Linked DNA regions of Astyanax mexicanus. The protein of the gene in region 2 purifies or fractionates together with the protein of the main gene of each other region. This does not show direct contact. Links are inferred from orthologs where the notes say so. Each region holds a gene or a part of one and is shown on either strand. Other genes may lie near its edges.

Region 1 (8,088 bases), on a different chromosome or scaffold from region 2:
TTGTACATTGGTTTCTTTCCCAACTTCATACAAAGTGCATTCAGCTCCACAGTGTGCGTCATGCTGTCTGCTATTAAGAAAAGGAAGTTAAAGTCAAAGTCATATTCTGGCCTTCACATAACATAAGCAGCATGCAATGTAAACCTCAAAAGAATTAAGTTGTACTGAAATAATGACAAGTTAAATCCAAACTAAAACAAGCCATCAGAACCAGTAAAGATTTTAAAAGTTTTATCAAAGAAAGGCTATTTAAAGCAAACATGCATTAGTTCTTCTGACTGAAGATGGTAAGGAAGCCACAGACTATAGAATTTGAATGTAACAGAACGTACACTCGCCCTTGTAGAACCCACCTGGGTTCCTGCCCTGATGGCGAGGTCCTCTGTTGCTGGGTTTGGGCAGCGACGTCTGGGCAAGAGCACAAGCTGCTGCAGAGTGTTGAGCTTTCTTTATGCTGGTCCCCTCTGCATCCCAGTGCTGCTCCCCCAGAGTTAACCGCACAGAGAATATCTAAAACAGAGGAGAGTCAGAGACAGAGAAAGACAAAAATGAGGGACATGAATGCAGAAATAATCTAAGCAAACAGAAGAGAAGTCTCAGGAACTGTATGTGTATGTGGTACCTTGGAGTGGGCTGGTCCTTGCTCGCTGAGAAGCTTATACTCAGGTTGGATCTTATTGTAACGGGCTAATTCATTCACTAAACACATGGGGGTCTTCTCTTTAGGGTTTGCCATGTTAGATACTGAAACAGAACAGAGTGGAAACAGTAATATTAGGCTACATTGTATTCTATAACTTCTGTATTTTTGAGAAGATCTGACCAACTCCCACATTCAGAACAGGTTCTGAGCCTAAAGTACACTAAAACCACATCTTTATAACGTAATTACTATATTTAGTCTTCTATATACATTTCACTCACCTGTAGGGTTACAGAAGGGCGTGGCTGAGGCTGAGGGCAAGGCGGAGCTTCGTAGTGGATGACTGGCACTCTCTGAAGGTAGGGAGCCAGAAGGAGAGGGAATGCTGAACCCAGGCTGGGGTGGGGTCAGTTGTACAGGGGCAGAACTGGCCATAGTGGTGGTGGTGGTGGGGGACTGGAACTGAACCTGGGACATTTTGACTGGATTGTGTGGATACAGAAGATGCTTTGCAGTCTTGTGGAGGGAGAAAAGCGCACAGGAGAGGTTGCAAGAATGTGCAAGGGAAAGGTGAATGCAGGTGTTTTAAATGGAAGGAGACTGCAAAGCTCTACCTGCAGGAAGTGAGGAATAAAAAAAATGTTAAAGGATGTTTAAATAATTCAACGTACAACAGCAATGAGATTCAAGTGTCCAGTAAATACACTCCGTACATGATGGAGATTAAGACCTTATTACCTAATGTAAATATAAAATAAAAAATCAAAGCATATCAATATGCATTTACATAACATTGAGAAGAATACGTCTGATGATAGGGATGGCAAACAAAAAGTAACTGCTCCTGTGCTTATTCGCCATCAAAGTCCTGATGTATTGACTGACCACCTTCTTGTTTATACACTCACTGCCCATTACAAGCTCTATTCATACAAGAACACTTTGTAGTTCTATAACTAATTACAGACTATATTTTAGCTGTCCATTGTAAAAGGAGTAAATCCATTTTAGTTTTTTTTGTTAGTTTACTACACAAATGGAACACACAAACTGTACTCTACAGTACTGTTGTCTAAATAATTATGGGTGGTGGAATATTCTTAGTCCAGCAGTGACAGTGAGGTGGTGAGGTGTTTATTTGATCCACTTAATTCAAAACAACACGAGTACAGTAGCTAGCTAGCTAGGTTAACACATAACCACCACGTCAGTATGACAATGAATCACTGTGTGCAATGCTGATGATGACCCACCACCAAACAATAGTTAAGTTAAGTAGCTTAGCTCTGTGTAGCCTAGCTGCTCTCTGGTGGTCTTTTTGGTGTCCTGTCTTGACCATGGAAGACCAGGGTAAAAGGATTAATGATGTGTCAGGCAGCTGACAACACAAGACAACAAAGTTATACAATGGGAATTAGACAGCTAAGCTAGTTGCTAGATAGCTAAATAGACAGCTCTGCAAAAAAAATTAAGAGATCACTTAAAACTGATGAGTTTATTTGATTTTACCAAACTGAAAACCCCTGAACTACAATCAAGATATCAAGTCCATATTCATAAGGTTGCAAGAGCTCAGAAACCAATATTCGGTGGAATAACCCTGGTTTTTTATTAGATTTTAAAGCATCTTGGCATGTTCTCCTCCATCAGTCTTACACACTGCTTTTTGATTACTTTATGCCACCTCTGGTGAAACAAAAAATCAAGCAGTTCAGCTTGGTTTGATGGCTGTGATCATCCATCTTCCTCTTGATTATATTACAGATGTTTTTAATTAAGTAAAATCAAGGGGAAAACATAATTAAGTAGTCTCTTTTTTTCCAGAGCTGTTATATAGCTCACTATAGTTTTAGCTTGCTAAAGAAAGGATAGGGGGCAAGTTAGTTAGTTAGATTAATGAATAAGTGTCAGGCAGCTGACAACACAGAACGACGGAGCTAATATACAATGAAAAATAGACAGCTAGGTTAGGTAACGTAAGCTAAATATATATAACGTTAGTTTTAACTTACTAAATCAAGGATAGGGGTCTAGTTAAGCTTGCAAACCTATTAATATGCTACAACTTGACAGATAACAATAGCTATCCTAGCTAGGTTACATTTACTTTAAACCTCAAGATACATACATATACTGTATTATTAATGTGTCAGCTGCCAGGAAAATAAAGTAAACCTAAATTAAAGCATTAGCCAGCCACTGTTACCGTGTAAACAGAGAGAACAGATGGAAATAGCTAACGTTAACTAGCTAAAGACTGGGTTAGCATGCTAGCTATTGTTACAGCTATGGCTAGGTTATCTAAGCTAACGTTAACTTGTTAGCCAGCTAAGACACAAAACAAGACTTCAGCCAAATGACAACTGCGTGTCTAAGACCTATAAAACGTCTCCATCACGCACAGTTAACGCATTATTATAGGTACAGGATTGTACAGTGTGGTATTTGCCGGTGGGGGCTTAAAAAAAGCAGGAGCTAGCTAACAGAGCTAGCGTTAGTTAACCTAGCGGCTCTGCTCCCTGCTCTGCAGCTCAGCGCCGCCACATTACCGCTCCTCACCTCGGGTTATATACTGCAGGTCCGCCCGGGAATTAGTCCATGAGTGACGCGGTTTGAGCTTTAGCACTGGCCTGCTTTAGATCCAGGTTTATGGGAGGCTTTTTGTGGGGGTTTCTGAATTAAAATGTAGGTGAGGTAGAGCGGAGAAGGTGGACAGGGCAAACACTAAAGAGAATTGCCTATTTTTCCGCCCACTTCCAGGATGTGACATCATGCGAGGCAGGTTTGAGAAGGGGGGAGACCACTTCAAAATGACCAGTTTCTCTTATTTTAATGTTTATAGCTAACGTTAAATGTTTGAGTAAAAAAAAAAAAAACATTGTGGTTTTATTCTATAAACTACAGACAACATTTCTCCCAAGTTCCAAGCAGAAATATTCATTTTAGAGCTTTTAGAGCAATTTGCAGAAAATGAGAAACAAATAATCTAAACAAACAAAAAATGCAAATAAAACAACCTCATATTCATTTAGAAACACTAACACTTATTGTTTAAGAGTTTAGAAATCAATATTTGGTGGAATAACCCAGATTTTTAATCACACCTTTCATGTCTTGGCATGCTCTCTCCACCAGACTTACACGCTGCCTTTGAGTGCAAAATGCAAAAAAAATCAAGCAGTTCAGCTTTGTTTAGTCGCTTGAGACCATCCATCTTTCTCTTGATAACATTCTAGAAGTAGTACTGTATTTATCAAAGGTAATGTATCTAAATGTGGAATCTAAAGTATAAAAAAAAAACATTCTGGTTTGTTTAACCCTTAATGTTTACAGGATGATTCCACATGTTACTGTACAGCTTTGGTGTCAAAACAATGTGTCCAAACTTTTGACTGGTACTGTTATATATCTATAGCTAAACCAGTACTTTTATACAATAACTTAAGTAAAAAGCTTGGGTTGAGATCTCTTTTTGAAACGATCCTTGAATACAAGCATACAGAACATACATATTACATTATTATATTATATGTTTTAACCCTGTTTTCTTGTACACATCTTGCTGAAGTCAGTAATTTTTTCTGACAATTATATTTTAAATCCACAACCATTCTCCCTTTGGCATTGCATTTTAAGTTCTATTGCTACTGTTTGTACAACTCTTGAGGCTTTAATATACTCCTTATGACAAAGAGTCACGATTGCTTAAATAAAGAAAAGAAACCAACAGTGTATTTTCTTATTGTCAATTTTATGTGGAAATATTCAGGTAAGGACTGAAGTACAAACTCACACATCTGCCTTATTTCTGACCATACAAAATGCAAAAAACATCACATCAATAAAATAATGATAAACAGAGCTTATTCTGCACCTTTATAAAAAAGATTGGTAAAATACGACCTTGTTGTATTATTAATCCACCTGATGTGTTCACATCATAAATAAGACCTCAAGTGGTTAAAGCCAGAGACATATTTCATAGATATCAGTGTCTGAGATGTTAGCGCTACACATCTGTTCAACTCAACAAAAGTGTAGCCAATAAAATACATGTATTGATCAAAACAATGAAGCAACGTAACCATATTTCATCTTAATTCTTCTAAAAATTTCAGTCACTGCTGATATGACAACTCCATATCAGTAGTTATAAATTAGCTAATGCATTTGTGACAACTCCAGTGCATTAATAAATGTAACCACGGATATTACTAAAACCTTTACTTCTAAACAAAATAAGATGAACTCTTTTATTGCTATGAAACATACTGAGCAACCAGCTGCTTTAGAAAGGATATTAGATTTGGTTTGAAGTATAGTCTTGCATAAATTAGGATCCTGAGCATCAAAAGTTTAAAGGGTTATAGATTGTAGGCCTGCCGGATGTTGAGAGTGTCTCTCATCATCAGATCTCTGAGTCTCCACAACGCATCAGCCATTGTGGTGTGAGCGCCTTTACTCTTCAGCCAGTGAGAAGGAAGACGGCTCTCCTGCTCCCTGCTCAGGCGACCGTCTGTCCTTTGAGCTAAAATGAAAAAGCAAAAACTGATTTGTAACAATGTTTTCAAAATAAATAAACAGGTTTCAATCTGGACACTTAATTTTCTCTATTACCCTTAAGACTCTGGTCCCATTTGCTGATTGTGGGGCTGTCTGCGCTAAGCCCCTCTATGTATTTTAGATAGGCTTCTGAATGAAGGAGCCTCTGTGGTTTGGGAGGTGGAGCAACAAACATGGGCATGACTGGCTGCTGGTGAGCAGGTTGACCTTGGCTTGGATATGGCGGTGGAGCTGGCTGCCCTGGACCGTATGCACCCATCTACAAAAGGAAACAGCATTAGACCTGCAGTTCACTGTGCATATAGACAGCATTAGAACTAAAATTAAAATACATCAAGAAAACAGCCTCAGACATCACGGACCAATCAGAATCAGCTTTTTTTCTTTTTTCAGTTAGGTTGATTGCACACAACAGTAAGACTGGGATAATAAGATAACAGAAAACTATGATTAGTCTACTGTATTAAGCAGATACACTATTTTGTTACACAAATTCAACATTGTTTTATAACCCGCACATTTTGTAATTATGTGCTCATCGTAGACATACTGATATCTTGCACACTTGTATTTAAACGGTCATCTACAGACAATATGTATATATGGATAGGTTTCTTAAAACTTTATAAAATGCTTGACCTGAGGAATGAGTACAAACAAATTCAAATGTACCTGTACTACTCGTACCTGTACAAGCGGCAAAGTAAATAGTAAAATTTATATTTAAAATTAATCTTCACCTGAAGGCCGTAAGGATTTCCTGGACCAGGACTTCCATTCATAACAGGGCCCAATACACCTTTAAAAAAAAGATCAAAAAAAGAAAATGATGGTGACGTTTGGCGATCCATTAGATTATTAATAGATTTGCTTATTTAAATAGCAACTGCTAAATGTGTCTACATTGATTAAAAGGTGTAAATTAGTGTGATGTGTGTCTTTGGTGTGTTAGTTGGTGTTTACAGAACTAACTTTTATTAGTAGAATAAAGGTGACTGCATGTGCAAATTGTAAAGATTGTAAAGAAGTCCAACAGTTGGATAGGTGAGAAAGTGAGAAATAACTACAATAAACCACTGCCATCATCAGCAACTTAATATCACAGTAAAGGGAGAATGAGACAGATTCGTCTACCTGTAATAATAAATCAATCAATTATGACAATTGCAGTTATATTAAAAAAAAATAAAAAAATAAAATAAAAAAAAAAGTTTACTGCCACACGGATTACTGCAAACCAGCCACCAATGCAAGACCACATTACTTTATGGTCTAAGACAGAATTTTCTTGCTTTTGTTTTTAATAATGCTCACAGATGTTTAAGGTACATGCCGAAATCTGGATTCTCTTTTTAGTCAAAAATTTTAGTTTTAATTTGAGTATATACATAAATAAATAAATAAATCAGTAAAAAAAAATATTATTAATTTACTTTGTTCTAAATAGAACATATAATTGTAATTACCTATACAGAGCTATCTATTTAGCCTATATTTTAGAAGGACTAGAAGAAATATTTAAATAAGTAGGTATCCACACATAGCCAACACCACCACACCAGCCTCAAAACTACACGACATGCCAATAAAAAAAAATCCTTTATGTAAGAATATGTAGAGAAGTATATTCTGCTGTTTATATCCTCCAATATTTTTTATTTTGTAAACTTCAGGCACCATTATGCAGGAAGAATACATGCTTCTTTGCTCTAAAACATCTGATTAAAATGCTAAGTTTGCTACGAAAAGTGAAAATAGAAATTACATTTTATATAAGATTCTTATCTGCAATCTTCAAAACATTTATTTAAAAAAAAAATAACCTTTTTCTACTTTTCTAAAATATCATTCTTGTCATAGAGGGTAAAAAAGTGACGTTTACTATAACATAACTTTGTCCCTGATTGGGTGGTGGGTTGCTTGCTTGTGGGATTGTTCTTACCAGGAGGGGGCATACCAGGGTACCCAGCCATGCCCGGCGGAAAGTAGTGTTGAGGGGGCAGCGGGGGCACCCCCATAGGGTGAGGAGGCGTGCCACCCATACCCATCATGCCTTCAGGAGGGCCCTGCATAGGCATGAAGGGTGGGCCATAATTTCCCATCATGCCTTGGGTGAGAAGGGAGAGACAACACAAAAGAATCCATGCATCGGTGACATGCAAATGTGTCTGGAGTCATGCACTACAAAATAAAAGTCTAGAGGAGTGAGTTAGAATGAATAACATGAGCCATAAGTGTCAAACCTAGGAGAGACAAATGACAGAAAAGAAGTAGTATTTGCATGTGATGTTACAGAAAGACAGAAACCATGCAAAAAAAGAAAAACAATAAACAGAAGTAGTATCAATTATTACACACTCAATACATACAAAATCGCCAGCATTATGAACCAAAGCATATTAGATACACTTGGGGGTGCTGGCGTGTGTGTTATAACTGATGAATGTTGGGAATGAGTTGGGTTATGGATGAGGTCAGTAGATGAAGGGATTTTTTGGAGGGTGCCCAGATGCTGCATCTTGATTGTCTTGGGGAAAGGGGTTGAATGGGATTTGGGGTTACCTGGCATAGGTGGCATGGCTTGATTTAGCATCCCCATAGCAGTTGGGGGAGGCACCACCCCCATCCCGACTGGGGTACCTGCTCTTGGGGAAGCCTGCTGCTGTTGCTGAAGCTGCAGCTGCTGTTGTTGCTGCTGCTGCTGTTGGAAGGCTCTCTCTCGCTCCTGCTGCTCCACGAGTTTAGCTGCCCTTTCTGTGTACAGACAGCATGCAAGATACCAACTTTTTAAAGATACAATTTGTGCTGTCTGGGATTATGCTGGGATTAAAACAGATCAAGGGCTAAATCAAGATGAATGTACCTTCATACTCCCCCTTCTT
Region 2 (7,622 bases):
ATAGTCCTGGTCTAGAAAGTGCTCGCCACTAACCCCTAGCGTTGCAGATAACCGGAGGATTCTCACGATTCAGCGCTGCGAGGGTATGAAAGTGAAAGTAAATATTTCTCATTCCTCACCCTATTAAATTTCACTACTCCCAATATTACTACACACAGGGGCAATACAAAAGTGCCCCCCCGCTCTGCATTGAGTTTTGGTTTGGATTTTATTATTTATTGAGGAGCTAAATTACGGTATTCTCATAGATTATAGTAGTGAGGCGTGCGAGAACCAACCTCGTGACGTCACTTTCAGCGCTGGGACAAGATGGCGCTGCCCTTACTTAAAAAAATGACATTTAGATTGCTTATTATTTTAATTCCGCTTCACTGACAACTGTTAAACTTCTAAAATTTGTTAGAGTGAAAATACATCTTGTGAATTAAACTAAATACTTGAAGTGTTTCATGTCCCCTTTAAACCTAGCTAGAGAAATATTTAGAAATTCTCTCCTATAGACTTGGTAGGTTTGCTGGCTGGCTAACTTATAGCTAATGTAGCTTTGCCACCTCCTTAGCCACTTTAAAAAATTAAAACATTTGTGTTGAATGATATGCATTGCAGTCTTTAAAATTATAAAATGTACATAAATAAAAATAAAATAAATAAATGTTGCATGTTAGTTTTTTTTAAATATGCATTTCAATATTCAGTATCCGGTAAACTGGACATTTGTAAATAAAGGCATGAAATCTGCAAAATTATCAACTAAAATGAGATTCAAGGAAAAAACATAGTCCATTAACACTACATTAACCATCTATGGCATAATTTTCGGTTATTGCACCTTTCCATGCCATACAATACCTTATGTATTTTTAATATAATGTTACATAGCATATCTATGTTCAAAACAATGATGTGTACAAGGGGTTTCTAACTATGTATATGTGCAGGAACATGTACATTTGGCTGTTAGTATTCTTACATTTTTCTTGTAAACTTACTAAAAATATTGTTTTCTTCTGCAGTTAGACCACTTTTGTTAATCATGTTAAAGCAGTGGTTTTCTTTCATCTCTGCTCCTGAAAACCTCTTCCTACTACCCTGCATTTTGGGTGCTTTCTTTATCTAAAACACCCGATTCAAATTACAAGCGTGTTATAAAGTCAAAATTTAAATTTGAGTTTGCTATATCGACAGTGACTGACAAGCTTCCAAATATTATATTTTTTCCTCCCCCAAAAAATATATAATTCTTCTTTTTCGACACTCAAATACATACAATTAGCTACATAAATACAGTAATAGTAAAAAGTCTGGTAAAAATTCAATATTTTTCTTAATTTATTTATTATTAATATTAAGATTAACACTAAAAGGCATTAAAATAAAAGGGAAAACATAAGACATTATTTTAAGAAATAGAATAAATAAAACTTAAATTTTCCAGTAGAGTGCTGGACATATGTAATACATTGTAAATTAGATTAATATTAAAAGACATGAAAAAAGAATTTAACTACTTGACTAAATTTAATTTGGCATCAATATTGAGAAGTGGGTCTGGGATGTTATGGGTTAAAATGAGTAATGGTTGTTTACTTATGTTCTGCAGGAGTAAACATGAGAAAGAATGCTTTAAATTAATTTTAAGTGTAAATTGAAATTATATTGGAGCGAGGAGTTCCTAGTTTGTTACCTGTAGCCTAGGGTGGTTTGTTAGTTAGCTATCTAGGCTAGCTAGCTTAGCATGGCTTTGCCAGCGGTTGTGGCGTTAGCTAACGTTGGCTAACTTTTGCCAAAAGCTGACTGCTTAGCCAAACCAGCCAAAAAGCTAGCTGTTAGCTGAAAGTTAGAGCGTTGATATGCAGTTTAAACCTAAATAACAGGAATAAATAGATGATATTTTGTATTAGTCCAGCTAGTAGTGTTTAGAATATAGTGTTACGCTAAAGTATATCTTAGCTAGGTAACTATGTTTACAGCTCTGGAAAAAATAAGCGACCACTTAAACACCTCTGGAATAAGTTAATCAAGAAGAAGATGGATGATCACAACCCATAAAACCAAGCTGAACTGCTTGAATTTTTGCATTAGGAATTATCCAAAAGCAGTGTGTACGACTGGTGGAGGGAACATGCCAAGATGCATAAAAACTGAGATTAAAAACCAGGGTTATTCCACCAAATATTGATTTCTGAACTCTTAAAACTTTACTAATATGAACTGGTTTTCTTTGCATATTTTTGTTATTTCAGCCATTTCTCATTTTCTGCAAATAAATGCTCTAAATGACAATATTTTTACTTGGAATTTGGGAGAAATATCGTCCGTAGTTTATAGAATAACAACATTTTTCATTTTACTAAATATTATGCCAATAAATAGCAAAACTCAGAGAAACTGATTCACAAACTGAAGTGGTATTTTTTTTCCAGAGCTGTAATAAATGTCAGCGAGGCTAAAAGCGCGTTAGCTAGCTAAGCTAAGCTAACGTAGGTAGCTAGGTTACGCCATTATTAACACGGGCACGGTTAGCTAGGCTAGGTTAGCCAACTAGCCTGGATGCTAACGAAGCTAAGCTAAGCTAAAGCGCTATTTTTTAACACGCAGAAAATAAACAAGCCCGCTAGCTAGGTTAGCTAACAGGTTAGCTTAGCGTTAATTCCGCTAGCCAGCTCCGTTTTCCCCCCACGCCAACTCCACCTCGCGGTCTAATATTCCACCAAACGCAGAGGAATGGGAGTTAGAGACCTGGTTGTCCAGCTGGCTCTGGGTCTGGCCCTGTGTCTGGGTCTGGCTCGGCAGGGTAAAGTCGGTGAACTCGAACTCCGAGCCCTGGGTATCGGCTCCCAGCAGCTCCGCTTCCTCCGTGTCCAGGAAGGTGAGAGTCTGCGAGCTCGGCCCGTACGCCTCTACGCTCATATTCTCCTGTATTCGTATCGTGACCGGCGGCGTCTGTCTTCCAAACCGACCCCCTCCGAGACCAGCGCGCTGAAAAACGTGCAGAAACGCAGCCCGAGTCCGTGCGCGGAGCCCGTTTTCCGTTAAACTCGGAGCAGAACGACGTTTCTCAAATGAAAGCACACTCGCTCCAACTCCCACTCGAAACGGCGACGTAAGCACCAAGCAGCGCACGAGCTGCTGGCGTAGAGCGCAGGGCGGGCGCGTGACGTCCACACAGACCTGCACACATTTTCAGAGAAGAGACATTTATCATAGCACTAATAAAATAAATAGTTATTAATTACATTTTTGACCGTTTGAGGCTAAATGCCGCTAAAAAATAAATAATAATAATAAAAAAATAAATAAATAAACAAACGTTATTTTCACATTTTTGCATTTTGCAAGGATTATACCATCAGATTTGTTCTACACGGTCAGTGCAACGTTTATTGATAAGTTTCAGGCTAAATGCAAACAATGTAAAATTAGATGTAAAAACGAATTATTTAACTTGTATGTAGTTTAGTGTACAAGAAATACGTTTTCCCATTTTAGTTTTCTCTGCACCTCACAATCGGGTTTTTAAGAAAAATTAAAAAGGAATCTTTTCTTTATTTTCTGATTTTTCAAATTTGCATTTTGTAAGGATTATACCATTAGATTTGTGTTACACGGTCAGTGGAACGTTACTTAATTCAATTTTCTGACCGTTTGAGGCTAGATGCAAAAAAAATTAACTTGCATGTAAAAACTCATTATTTATTTTTCACATTTAGTACAGTGTAGAAGAAATAAGTTTTCACTCAATTTTTATAATGCTTAGTTTTCCTTCTCTGCCACTCACAATCAGAATTTTAGGGAAAAAAACTTTATTTTTGAATTTTTCCATTTTTTACATCTTGTAACAAAAATTAGTTGGATTATACGGTCAGATTTGTGATACAAGATACAAAAATGGAAAAATCTGAAAATCGAGGAAAGGAAACTCCATAATTTCATTTGTTCAAACTATACTTGGATAGAGTACAAATTGGACAAACAGAAAGGCTGCAAATATTTGCAAATCCCTATGAATATTTTCATAAATGTCCCTCTCATTTATTATTTATATGTATGTTTATGTTTGTTGTTATGTTTTGCTACTGATTGGATTGATCATGTGAATTTTAATTCAGAAGAAGATTTAAAACTAAAAAAAAAAAGAAAAAAGGGAAAAGACGATGCTGATGCCACTTGTTTCGGATTTAAAGCAGTTAATAATCAAACATAGACTGCAAAAAAATCCATTGGCAAAACTATACAAAATCTATCTATATTGAGAGGTAAATACTTATATTAAAAAAAAAAATCTGCCAATGGGGTAAGCTAATCAAATTAACTTGGGTAATCGAAATTGCTGTTTTAATGCAATGAAAACAATGGCTTGCGAATCACTGTTTACACAAAATACTGAAGTTATGTTAGAACTAGTTGAGAATTGCTGTAAATGAAGAATATTAAAAAAAATCATTTTTATAATATCGCCCAGCCCTTAGGTAAGCAAATGTTCATTAAGACTTGGTTTGGATTTGTAGTTAGGTATGTCCCGATCACATTTTTAAAAAAATATTCAGTACCTAGTATACTGAACATTTGTAGTTAAGGGCATGAAATCTAGAAACATAATAATAAAATGTTCACAGCAGAGTGCAGAAATGATTTACTTTTTTTTCTCACACTCAGAAGTGTGATCCCAAATTGCCTAATGTGCAGTGAGGAACTGTGATTCGGGTAAAATGCATTAAAATGTTTTCTGTCAAATTCATGTTTCTTGTATTTTATGACATTTGTGTGGTATATGTACTAAAACCAGAAACAATTCATTTTCATCTTACCTTTTTCCAACATTTTCTTAACCTGAAACAAACCATGCCTTTAAGAATGCTAGCTGCATGAAAAAAAACAGTCTACAGTCATGACTGCAACACCCTTTATAACTTCAGGGTAAACTTTGGGCCAAGCTATGAAACATGTAAAGCGGGTCAACCCAAGTAGCATGGGGTCCTCTGATTGAGTCTTGGTTCCTTCCAAGGTTTCTTCCTCTTAAAGGGAGTTTTTCCTTGCCACTGTGTCACCATAAAAATTGGCATCTCTGTGGTGCTGCTCGGAAGGGGCGTGGACCTGTTTTTCTCTGTAAAGCTGATTTGTGACAGCTTTGTTGTAAAAAGCGCTATAGAAATAAAATTGAATTGAACTCTGTGTGTCATTTGTTAAATAACAGTGTCTTTATTTATCATGACGTAGATCAAATCACATTTTTTCCTGCAGAAAATCCATTTAATTCCAATAAAGCGTTCACAAGCATTTTTTTTTTCTCACAGCTGAAAATAACAAACCACTCCACAGGTTAAACGTGACATGATGAGAAAGACTGTTGGTAGGTAGACATCATAAACTGGAGCAACCAGCTTCACAGTTCCAGATTGGTCCAGTGTTTCTTTAATAAACAGACAAACAAATAAACAAAAATGCTCCTTTAAAAAAAAATAGACTGAAAATTAAGTAAATAAAAGTAAATTCTTCCACTTCCAGGATTTCCTGAAACTAAAACTTTCCTAAAGCTATAATATTTCTATAACTTATATAGGCACAATTCAGGCCCATAAGTTTACTAATATCATTGCGGTCATATAAAACGGTTCAATAAACTGAAATAGAAATAGAGATAGGAATTGCTCACATTAAAGTTAAGGGTAATATATTCTGCATAATTAAATAATTAAGATATATACCAAAAGACATTCAGAGTGTCAAATGCTTGATTCCCAGGTCAGAACTCTTCACAGTGGTTGTGTGAGTTAATAAACACAAACATGCTAATACCTTAATACATTAATATTTTAATTAGCTTATTATTCAGCAACACAAACACTGCATAACCCTGATATGTTATTGAAGAATGTGTTGAATTTTATAGGTGTTAAACGTGATTGCACCATATCTACTAACCAACAAATATATTATATTATATATTATTTTCAGCATATTATATTATATTTCAGTTTTGAATGGAATTATCCAATTTTATACAACATACACATTTGTGTGATTTGCGTTTTGATTTTGATAAATGCTGTGTTAAATCAAAACCACTGGAATTCAAATCACACTGTACTTACTATTGCAAAGTCATAATAAGTCTCTCTTTAACATCATATCACTCCGAATGACTGTGTATATCTTAATCATTGAACTGAATTATGCAGAAATTCTGAATTTATATTTTTTCCTATTTAAATATTAAGAGCATTATATACATTAATTTGGAGATGCTTATTTATTAAGACAGCAGTGATATATATGCTTGAGAATGTGAACTCTGACATCATTGTGTGGAAAAAGGTCACTGAGAGATGACAAACAACAGGTTATAAAGGTCAACCCTGATTTCACAGTTTCATTTATCACAGGAAAGCTGGCTGACAGTTAGCTGTAGTAGCCCTGAAGAGTTAGCTGTGTACAACGTTGGCAGAAGACCCTTGATAAAAGCAGAAGGCAACAGGATTTTCAAAGCAGTGTGCTTTGACCATGATCATGTATTACAAATACATCATTAATAATAATAAAAAAAAGATACTACTAGGGATGCACAGAATATTTGGCAACCGAAAGAATTCAGCCAAAAATGGCAAATAAAAAGCACTTTAGGTGTTCAGACAAAAAAATAAAAACAGAATAATTTACTGAAGGTACACTGAAGTAAAACGGCAGTGTTTACTCTAATGTTAGGATTTTTTAAAGCAAAGCTGATGTGTAGAGAGTGAGCAAACTACAGGGATAATATATAAAAATATAATTATATATTATATAATTATATATTAAGATAATTACTTAGTTAGAAATTTATGTTAATTTAAGTTTATGACTTGCTAGAACAGCACTGCTGAAATAAATGTATGGCCAGAATAGCACTACTGAGGTAAAGTGTAGTTCTTGGTTGGTTTGTCTGCTGGGATATTTAAAATCTTTAGTGTGTCTTTGAAAAGCAAGTCTACTTAATATTTTTACTTGTAAAAAGCAGCAAACTTAAAAATGTCTTTTTTTTTCGGTTTAGGCACAAACATTTTACTTCGGTGCATCCCTAGAACATCTAATAACTTTTAAGAGCTAGCTAATATTTCATTGCCATAGGCACTGTACAGGCTGACATTTCTATCCTTACCCCCACTTGTTTAGCCCACTCTTTTAGTGCACAACCCACTTGTTACTCATTCCCACCAAATACAACACGTGCTTTCACTTTCAGTATTAACATGAGTGTCTGTGCTAAAGCTGAACACTCCAGCTTCTCATTTTAACTGAAAATAAAATGTGTAATACTTTTATTGTCACCGTCACATCAAATCTTGTATCTCCAAAATGATAAATTTACATTAAAAGCCTGACCCCTGAATATAATGATCTAACTGGGAGGATAGTCCAGGCTCATGTTTAATTCAAAGTGCTGTAGTGTGCTAATGTAACATACAGGTGGCACACTTAATTTTAAGGGCCTTTTCTTTTTTTTTTTTTTTTTTACACTCACACTTTTTGTCTTCCTAAATGGGACTATGGTTCAATTGGGCAAGTGTGAATACAGTGATTCACTCGGATGCGGACCATATAATTACTACTACTAGCTATAAGTCAATTAATTGCATTGTTGAATT
Region 3 (7,954 bases), on a different chromosome or scaffold from region 2:
TATAATTACAGTTATCTGGTAATGTAGTTTTCGCTAGTATAAACTCTAATTACAGTTCTCTATTAATGTAGTTTTTACTACTATAAACTCTTATTTCAAATATCAGCAATAAAGTAAAAAAAAAAACACTAAAAATCATTAACTCAGTGAAACACATTATTATTATATATTGTCCTCACAAATACACTTGAGTAGAAAAGGGAGTCTTATAAATTGAAAGTACAAATCCATCAGTTTCTCTTAAGCACATTTACAGGTTACAGATTTAGTAAGTATACCTAGTTACTACTGACTACTGTTGTCATCTTTTGTCTCTGCCTGCCACCTTCAGGAATCTTTCTTCCAAGACATTGATCTACTTCAGAAGTATGGGATTGTGAGTATATATACAATAATTACATTTTTCATTGATAACCACAATATTATATATATTAGTTTTCTCATTCATGGTGTTTTACTTCCACAGAACATGGCTGATATCAAGAAGCTAAAGTCTGTGGGAATATGTACAGTAAAAGGGATCCAGATGACAACACGGCGTGCACTCTGCAATGTTAAAGGCTTGTCTGAAGCAAAAGTGGACAAGATAAAGGAAGCTGCTGGGAAGTTGTTGGTAATCTTCCTTTGCAGTCTTCTTTTGGAAGTGTTTTTAATTAACTATTGAATTGGTATAGATACAAAACTCAAGACCCGAGTCTAGTTTTCTGGGGTTGTTTTTTTGTTTCACTGCAGATCTCTGGATTTCAGACAGCTTCTGAGTACAGTATGAAAAGAAGACAGGTGTTCCATATCACAACAGGCAGTCAGGAGTTTGAGTAAGACGTAAATTACTGTTAGACATTTAGCATATCACTCACATAAGCAGTTATTAGACTCATTTGGACATTAACTACTTTTCTGGATATATCTTTAATATTAAAACTGTTACATCACACTGCAAAAGACAACAACACATATCCCTCTATCATTTAAATAAAGTTTTTACACACAATTTGAGTAATATGTTGTTTCTATATTATGAAATATCATAACGAAAGAGATCATTGTATTTTTTTTCAGTAAACTTCTTGGAGGGGGAATAGAGAGCATGGCAATTACTGAAGCCTTTGGAGGTAAGCTGCAATTTGACATTGTTACCTCCCCCCTGCCGTATTTTGTCTTTTAAGCTGACTCTTTATTGTTTTAACATTTATCTAGAGTTCAGAACTGGAAAGACACAACTCTCTCACACACTGTGTGGTAAGTCATACAAACATCCATGTAAGTATTATGCATGTTGTGTCTGAGTTAAGAATGAACCTCCGTCCTAAATCTTGCTCTCTGAAGTTACCGCTCAGCTTCCCGGTGAGGATGGGTACACTGGAGGGAAAATCATTTTCATCGACACTGAAAACACTTTGTATCCTTCATAGCTTTTCCTGTGTTTAATGCATGTAATATAGCTGCTGTTGTTGTGGAGTTTTCCCTTTATTAGTAATGCTCAGTCGCCCAGACAGGCTAAAGGACATTGCAGACAGATTCAATGTGGATCATGAAGCTGTGCTTGATAATGTGCTGTATGCCCGAGCCTATACCAGTAAGACTTTTACATCACTTTTAGACTAACAGAGTTGCTGTCAGTTTGTTTGCAATTACTGTTCTGTATGTCAATATTTTAGGTGAACATCAGATGGAGCTATTAGACTTTGTTGCTGCTAAATTTCATGAAGAAGCAGGGGTCTTTAAACTGTTGGTGAGTGATATAGGAAAAACAAAACATTATATCATTGCTGTCCTTCAAATCACATGTATGTTTTAGCATTTTATAGTAAATGGACCAGAATAATGATGTCAATAATTTCCTTCCCTTCTTACATTTTAATTTTGGAAATACATGGATTTGTTTGCAAAGCGACAATATAGGAAGTGCACATATAGTTGGGTTATTGGTTCACTGTTTGAGGTGTGATTATTTGTGTGCTGAATCATTTAATCTTCATTTTAACTGGATAATTATTGAGTGTTTTTTCTTTAGATCATAGACTCCATCATGGCTCTCTTTCGGGTGGACTTCTCTGGAAGAGGTGAGCTGGCAGAGAGACAGCAGAAACTGGCACAGATGCTCTCAAGGCTTCAAAAAATCTCTGAAGGTCTGCAAAGTGTCTCCGTCCTTACTCTCTTTTCATTTATTGGTGTAAACTAATGAACCGACCAATTGTTTTTCTGTTTCAAGTAACTGTATCTTTTTGAAAGATACAGATTGTCTTAATATACAATATTATTGTCATTTTAACATCAACATTTTATGCCACTGATATAATAATTCTATAATAGCTTAATAATGCATTTACGCATTACTTTCAAAGAGCAGTGAGCTTTTAATTATCAGGAATAGTCAGACAAAAAAGTTTTAATATCCTAAATAATTAAACTGTAAATAAAATAAAACCAATGTTTTTAAACAAAGTTAATTAGTGTTAATAGGTTTGCATGCTAAGTAAGCACAATGTGCAATATCAAGGGCAGCACAAATGATTGAGGTCCTATCCATATATTGTCAATAAGACCTAGAATAATTAAGCAAGATATAAAGGAAACACGCTGGTATAAAAATTCAAAGATATTGCTCAATTCATTTGATAGAGTACAACGTTGCAGTGTTTGTGACCAATCAGATGACAGCAGACCCAGGAGCTGGGATGACGTAAGTGTAAAAAATAAAACAACTTTCTGTAAACTTAGTAAGCTATGATTAGTCTCCAGTGACTGTTTAAATGACTAGTGACTCTGTTAAAAAATGGAAGCTGTATTATGGTGCAGCGGCTGACGTGAAATCACTTTGCTGTAGATTTCAGGCAGATCCCAAAAAGCCCATAGGAGGACACATCTTGGCGCATGCCTCCACTACTCGTCTAAGTTTGAGGAAAGGACGTGGTGAAATGAGAATTGCCAAAATATTTGATAGGTAATTCATTTTTGTGACTATACCTCTCACATACATTTAAGGTAATTAAGAGCATAAACTCAAAAACCTGTTACTTGTGATTGACAGATTGACATAGCTTTCTTTTCTATTATAATTAGATGTATTATTACATTGCATTAAAATGTTTTATTAAATTAAACAGCATGTTTTTAACTCTGCTTGTCTTCTTTCTTTAAGCCCCGACATGCCAGAAAATGAAGCCACTTTTGCCATAACACCTGGAGGAGTAGCAGATGCCAAGGAGTAAAGGGACCACTCTGTGTCCTACACACAGGGTTAAATAAGATTTAATAAATTTAGGTTAACACACATGTAATCTTAATATTTATTTATTTATTTATTTATTAATAGTTTACAGATAATCTGGTTCTTTTTATGCATTAGGGTAAAGTTTGATGTCATTTCAGCATTGATTGTGTACTGAGCTATGCTTGATGTTTTTCAATAAACTGTTGGAACTGTTGGTTACTTAGTAGCTGAAAAATCATTCTCGTCTTTCGCGTTTTTGTTTAGCTTGGTCAATAAGTAAATTTAGTGACATAAAGAAAAATGTTGTTCCCAAAGTGATCCAAGAGAGCCCAACTATGGGCTGATATACACCAGGTGTATACCTTATAGCAATGCAAGGCAATGTACATCACTTCTCCATAGCAATGCATAGTGATATAAATAATTATTATGAACAGATGAAAAAGAGACACATAAAATAAATTGAGTGAAAGGCTTCCACCTTTCTTTTACATAAAATGGTTCATAGGGACTTTCAGAGTTCAAGTTTGTATTGTTTATCTGATTTTTTATGTTTAATGTTGTATTGGTTTCAAAGTAATTGCCACATACAGGAAAATAGCACATTAATTAATCTCAAAAACAAGCAAAACACCTTTGTTGGTAGCACACCCAAGATAATGAGCACCAGTGTTATAAGCTCTTAAAGATTCTATAAAATAAATAAAGCAATAAAACAGAAGTCTAAAAAATATTACATATCTACAAGTCAGTCAGATTTAAATATTCTACTGCCTTTTCCCACATTTCATAGTAGAATTTATATTTTGGGTCAAAAGAATGAAAGTAAAATTGTTTTCTTGCCTATTAATGCAGAAGATAAAATCGTTTAAGCTACTACTGTGCTAGGTTTACATATAGAGGTGTTACCTAAAACATTAGATAAATGTTCAATAATACTTTTCCAGAAAGGTATTACACATGGGCGTGAACATAATATATGGAGAAGTGACCCTTCTTCTTTTTTTACATCTCCAACACAGATTTGACACATGACCTTTGATTATAACCTTAAAAACATTATTTACTGACTTGAATCCAAAAACAAACTTAAACTTAAATTCACTGTGACTTTTATTCTCGCTGCTATAATGTAAAATGCTATATTTATACAGGATTTTTTTTATTATTATTTATTTATACATTTTTATCTTAAGTAAAAGAATGTAACGTTATGATAAAATGTTTTAGAAAGGTCAATAACCCACTGATATATGATATATTTTTGTTGTTTGTTTTGTTTCATAAGAGTGACGTCATGCAGGCTCGTGTGAATGAAAAAAATGAACGTGAAACTTCTCAGAAATGGATATTTGTGGGTTACTTTGAAGAGTTGCCCGTTTGGTGGCCATTTTCGGAGATCGTGTCCACCACGGTCGCTGTCTTCACACACCCCTGTCTCTGGGTTCGCCCATGCAGGACTGTCTGTGGTGGTGCTGCTGCTGCTGTCGTAGGGAAAAAGAGCAGGCGCCTCATGCCGTAGACCAGCCGCCCCTCCGAGCCTCTCCGCGCCCCTGAGCCCGCACGGTGACCCGGGAATAGCTGGTAGAATCAAGGCAGGCTGTTTAACCGTTAGTCAGGTGTTGGCTTTCTACTCTAAGTTATCTGTTCGGCTACAGTACGGTAGTGGAGCACTAATGGACTCCAGAGACACAGCCCCGGATAGCTGGGAGCAGGAGGACGATGTGGAGGCCCCGGACACGGAGCTGCAGTCCGCCTTCACCGGCCTGAACGTCAACGCTCCTGAGTTCGTCCCTTCCTTCATCCCCAGAGGAAACGCTGGAAGCGCTGGGCAAGACGGTAAAGACTGTCACAGGGCTCGAACAGACGGGGTTCAGCGCTGAACGCCAGCCTGCGGGTTCACTGCTCTGGCTAGCTAACCAAATGTTAGCATTAGCTAGCTCCGAGAGGTGGGTAACCTCTCGGAAAAATCCATCCCAGGTTTTTGTACCAACTGCCTGGGTGGCTCTGTGTATAGCTTAGCTGCAGCAGAGCCGCATAGGCAGTTGGTACAAAACCCTGGGATGGATTTTTACTTTGTGGCCCTGGGTTACCCACCTCTACTCCAAGAAGGATGTCGCTATGGAGAGTGTTAGCCAGTTAGCTAACAGTTAACTTAGCTAGCTAAGACGCCGCGATAAACAGCTGTTCACATGAAAACAAGCATTTTAAGAGATAAACCAGCCTGTAGGAGAGGACAAAGTGTAAGAAATAAAATGATAACACTCTTATTCGTCTGTATAATAAATGTCCAGATGTGTCGTGACACTACAGGCGTGTAACTTTCTCCATTTATAGCAGTGGTGGAAATAAGCAGCTAGCTAAGAGTTACCTTAACGGGCCAACAACAGCGTTCATTCTGAGGCTGGCTAGCTAGTTCACGTAGTTAACATAGCTAGCTAACAGCTAGTCGTCATTAGATGTAGTGCTGTTCTAATAAATTTATCTATTTAGATAATAGTATGGTAGTTAGTTATACCAAGTCTGTTTTCAATAGTGGAAAATATTAGCTGAAAGCTAGCTAGGTTTGTAGTTAACATCACAGTAGTGACAAACAGGTGTTCTGTCGAGTTATGCTACCCATCGATACGTGCTTCATAAAGGCACTGCGCATGCGCTGACGTACACGTTTTCATTATTTCTCGTGTTTTTTTTAAATAATAATACACCTGGACTCAGTCATTGCACAAACGTGTAAATGGAAATTAATAATATTAATTAATAATTATTAATAATATTAATACTTATCAATAAATTAATAATAACAAATACAAGAATTATTATTTAAAATATTTATTATAAATATTAAATAAAAAGACGAAAGCTGTATGTAATGACTTCTCATTGCCATAACTTGACCATGATACAGTGCTTTATGCTATACAAATATACTAACGCTACCTCTACTGGGACTCCTACTGGGAACATGCTCTAATATAAGTTCTTCTTTTGTATATTTACAGTTAAATATACACTAGGGTAGCATGGTTTGACAAGGTAGCACAACTCGACAGAACACCGGGTTAGTGTTAATGTATTGCTGGATAAAGCTGATCTGTGTAGTTTGTGCCACGTAGCTAAACAGTATTGTTATTTAGTCTAGCTAACTTGCTATTAACAGCTATTACTTGAAAGCTAATTATCAAAAGCTAATATATTCTGTGGGAGGGAGTTTCATGGTTTGGCAGTGTACCTACAGTTGAATGCAAAAGTTTGGACACCCTTGTTTAGTAACTGGCTTCATAAGACCTCCTACAAGAATTGCATAACCCTGTTATATTACTCCACTATCTCAATCCACATGCTTCTCTCACTACATACATTGGTTCTGTATCTCTCAGCTTGTCAACAGACCCTTGTGTACAGCTTTAATAAAGAATAAATTGTATTTACTGCAGTGGTGCAAATGTGGATTACACTCTCCAAAGCACAGGGAGTTATTCTCTGTAGATGATTTGTTCACCTATTTATACCTAGAAAAAAGCTACAATTTAAAGTAGCCTCACACCTTTTGTGCTTTTGTTATTCTGTGTTTTGACGGTCTTATACATAGTTGTGTATAGAATGTTCTGTTCAAATCAGTGTTTTATTGGTCAAACACATTTAACAGCATTACTACTACACTGTTACAAAAGCTGTCAGTTTATTTGCAATATGAACTGAGTAATTGCATTGTATTTCTCCATAGGTACAGATGCAGTTGCACACATGGAGATTTCGGAACCAGCAGGTGGGTGTTCTTTTATTTTTAAAAATGTGTATATAGATATTTTTCGCCTGTTTTTTTTTTTATCAGCACAGGCAAGTCACAGTTGTCATGTTCCTGCTGGTTGAGGTGTTGCTGTACTGTTTCTTCATTAATGTTAGTTCAACCATACAGAGGCCATGTGGAGACTGTTACATCATCCTTGCTGTGCACCCCATGTGTACTCAAATTACATGCATTCTCTCCACTTAACTTGTGCAAGCACAGCCAGCTACATAGTGAGTGAAGTCATCCGGTTCACAGCAGGTTTATCTATCTGTAACCAGGATAATGTGATGATTTGGCCCATGTTTAGTATCTTCTCACATTGCTTCTGAACAGAGGGAATCAAGGAAAATAATTGTAAAATACTTTGAGATACATTTTGTAGACTGTCCTCTCAGTAATGAGTGCAGTTTAGTAAAAAGCACAGCTTTAGGCAGGTTATTGAAGTGTGTAATTCCAGTGACCAGATCACAAGCATGTTGCTTAATCTGTTGCCAATGAAACTCTTTATCATAGCATTGTTAAAAAAAGTTTAACCGAACATGTGGTCATCACTTCAGCTCAGAAGAATAGGTATTCTGGCTGACCCAGGCAGGCCTGAGGTCAGCCAGGGCCAACCTGTCCCGCGGGATCAGGAAAGCTAAGAGGCTGTACTCAAAGAAGATTTCCCAACACTTCAGTGACAGCAGAGACACACAGAACCTGTGGCAGGGTATCCAGTCTATCACAGGCTATAAACCACATCCACAGACCTGCGACAGCGACACGTCTCTGCTGAACGACCTGAATGGGTTCTTCGCAAGGTTCGAGCCACTCAACAACACACCCGCCCAGAAATCCATCCTTCCTCCTGGTGACCAGGTGCTGACGCTGTCCCCAGACAGTGTGAGGAGAGCATTCAGCAGGATCAATGCTCTGAAAGCTCCTGGGCCTGACAACATTCCTGGCCG

Evidence for each region.
Region 1: the proteins of upf1 (region 2) and stau1 purify together in Homo sapiens (affinity purification with mass spectrometry; 7 studies listed by BioGRID and IntAct, with this or other methods). This does not show direct contact. The link is inferred for Astyanax mexicanus from reciprocal best matches to the Homo sapiens genes UPF1 and STAU1.
Region 3: the proteins of upf1 (region 2) and gspt1 purify together in Homo sapiens (affinity purification with western blotting; 6 studies listed by BioGRID and IntAct, with this or other methods). This does not show direct contact. The link is inferred for Astyanax mexicanus from reciprocal best matches to the Homo sapiens genes UPF1 and GSPT1.

The regions. Positions count from the first base shown.
Region 1 is NC_064412.1:10,366,570-10,374,657, reverse strand, and holds the start of stau1 (double-stranded RNA-binding protein Staufen homolog 1), read right to left. Parts: upstream 3,404-8,088; 5' UTR 3,203-3,403; intron 1,258-3,202; 5' UTR 1,121-1,257; coding exon 925-1,120; intron 745-924; coding exon 623-744; intron 511-622; coding exon 333-510; intron 71-332; coding exon 1-70. Other genes in the region: pbrm1l (polybromo 1, like), read right to left, coding at 5,008-5,171, 5,261-5,465, 5,947-6,005, 7,149-7,313, 7,769-7,960, 8,070-8,088. UniProt on the Homo sapiens protein: Binds double-stranded RNA (regardless of the sequence) and tubulin.
Region 2 is NC_064411.1:48,584,795-48,592,416, reverse strand, and holds the start of upf1 (regulator of nonsense transcripts 1), read right to left. Parts: upstream 3,103-7,622; 5' UTR 2,911-3,102; coding exon 2,740-2,910; intron 1-2,739. UniProt on the Homo sapiens protein: RNA-dependent helicase required for nonsense-mediated decay (NMD) of aberrant mRNAs containing premature stop codons and modulates the expression level of normal mRNAs.
Region 3 is NC_064422.1:23,693,729-23,701,682, forward strand, and holds the start of gspt1 (eukaryotic peptide chain release factor GTP-binding subunit ERF3A), read left to right. Parts: upstream 1-4,551; 5' UTR 4,552-4,890; coding exon 4,891-5,053; intron 5,054-6,941; coding exon 6,942-6,983; intron 6,984-7,954. Other genes in the region: dmc1 (meiotic recombination protein DMC1/LIM15 homolog), read left to right, coding at 332-376, 467-613, 733-815, 1,060-1,112, 1,198-1,239, 1,327-1,399, 1,485-1,576, 1,659-1,732 and 4 more. UniProt on the Homo sapiens protein: GTPase component of the eRF1-eRF3-GTP ternary complex, a ternary complex that mediates translation termination in response to the termination codons UAA, UAG and UGA.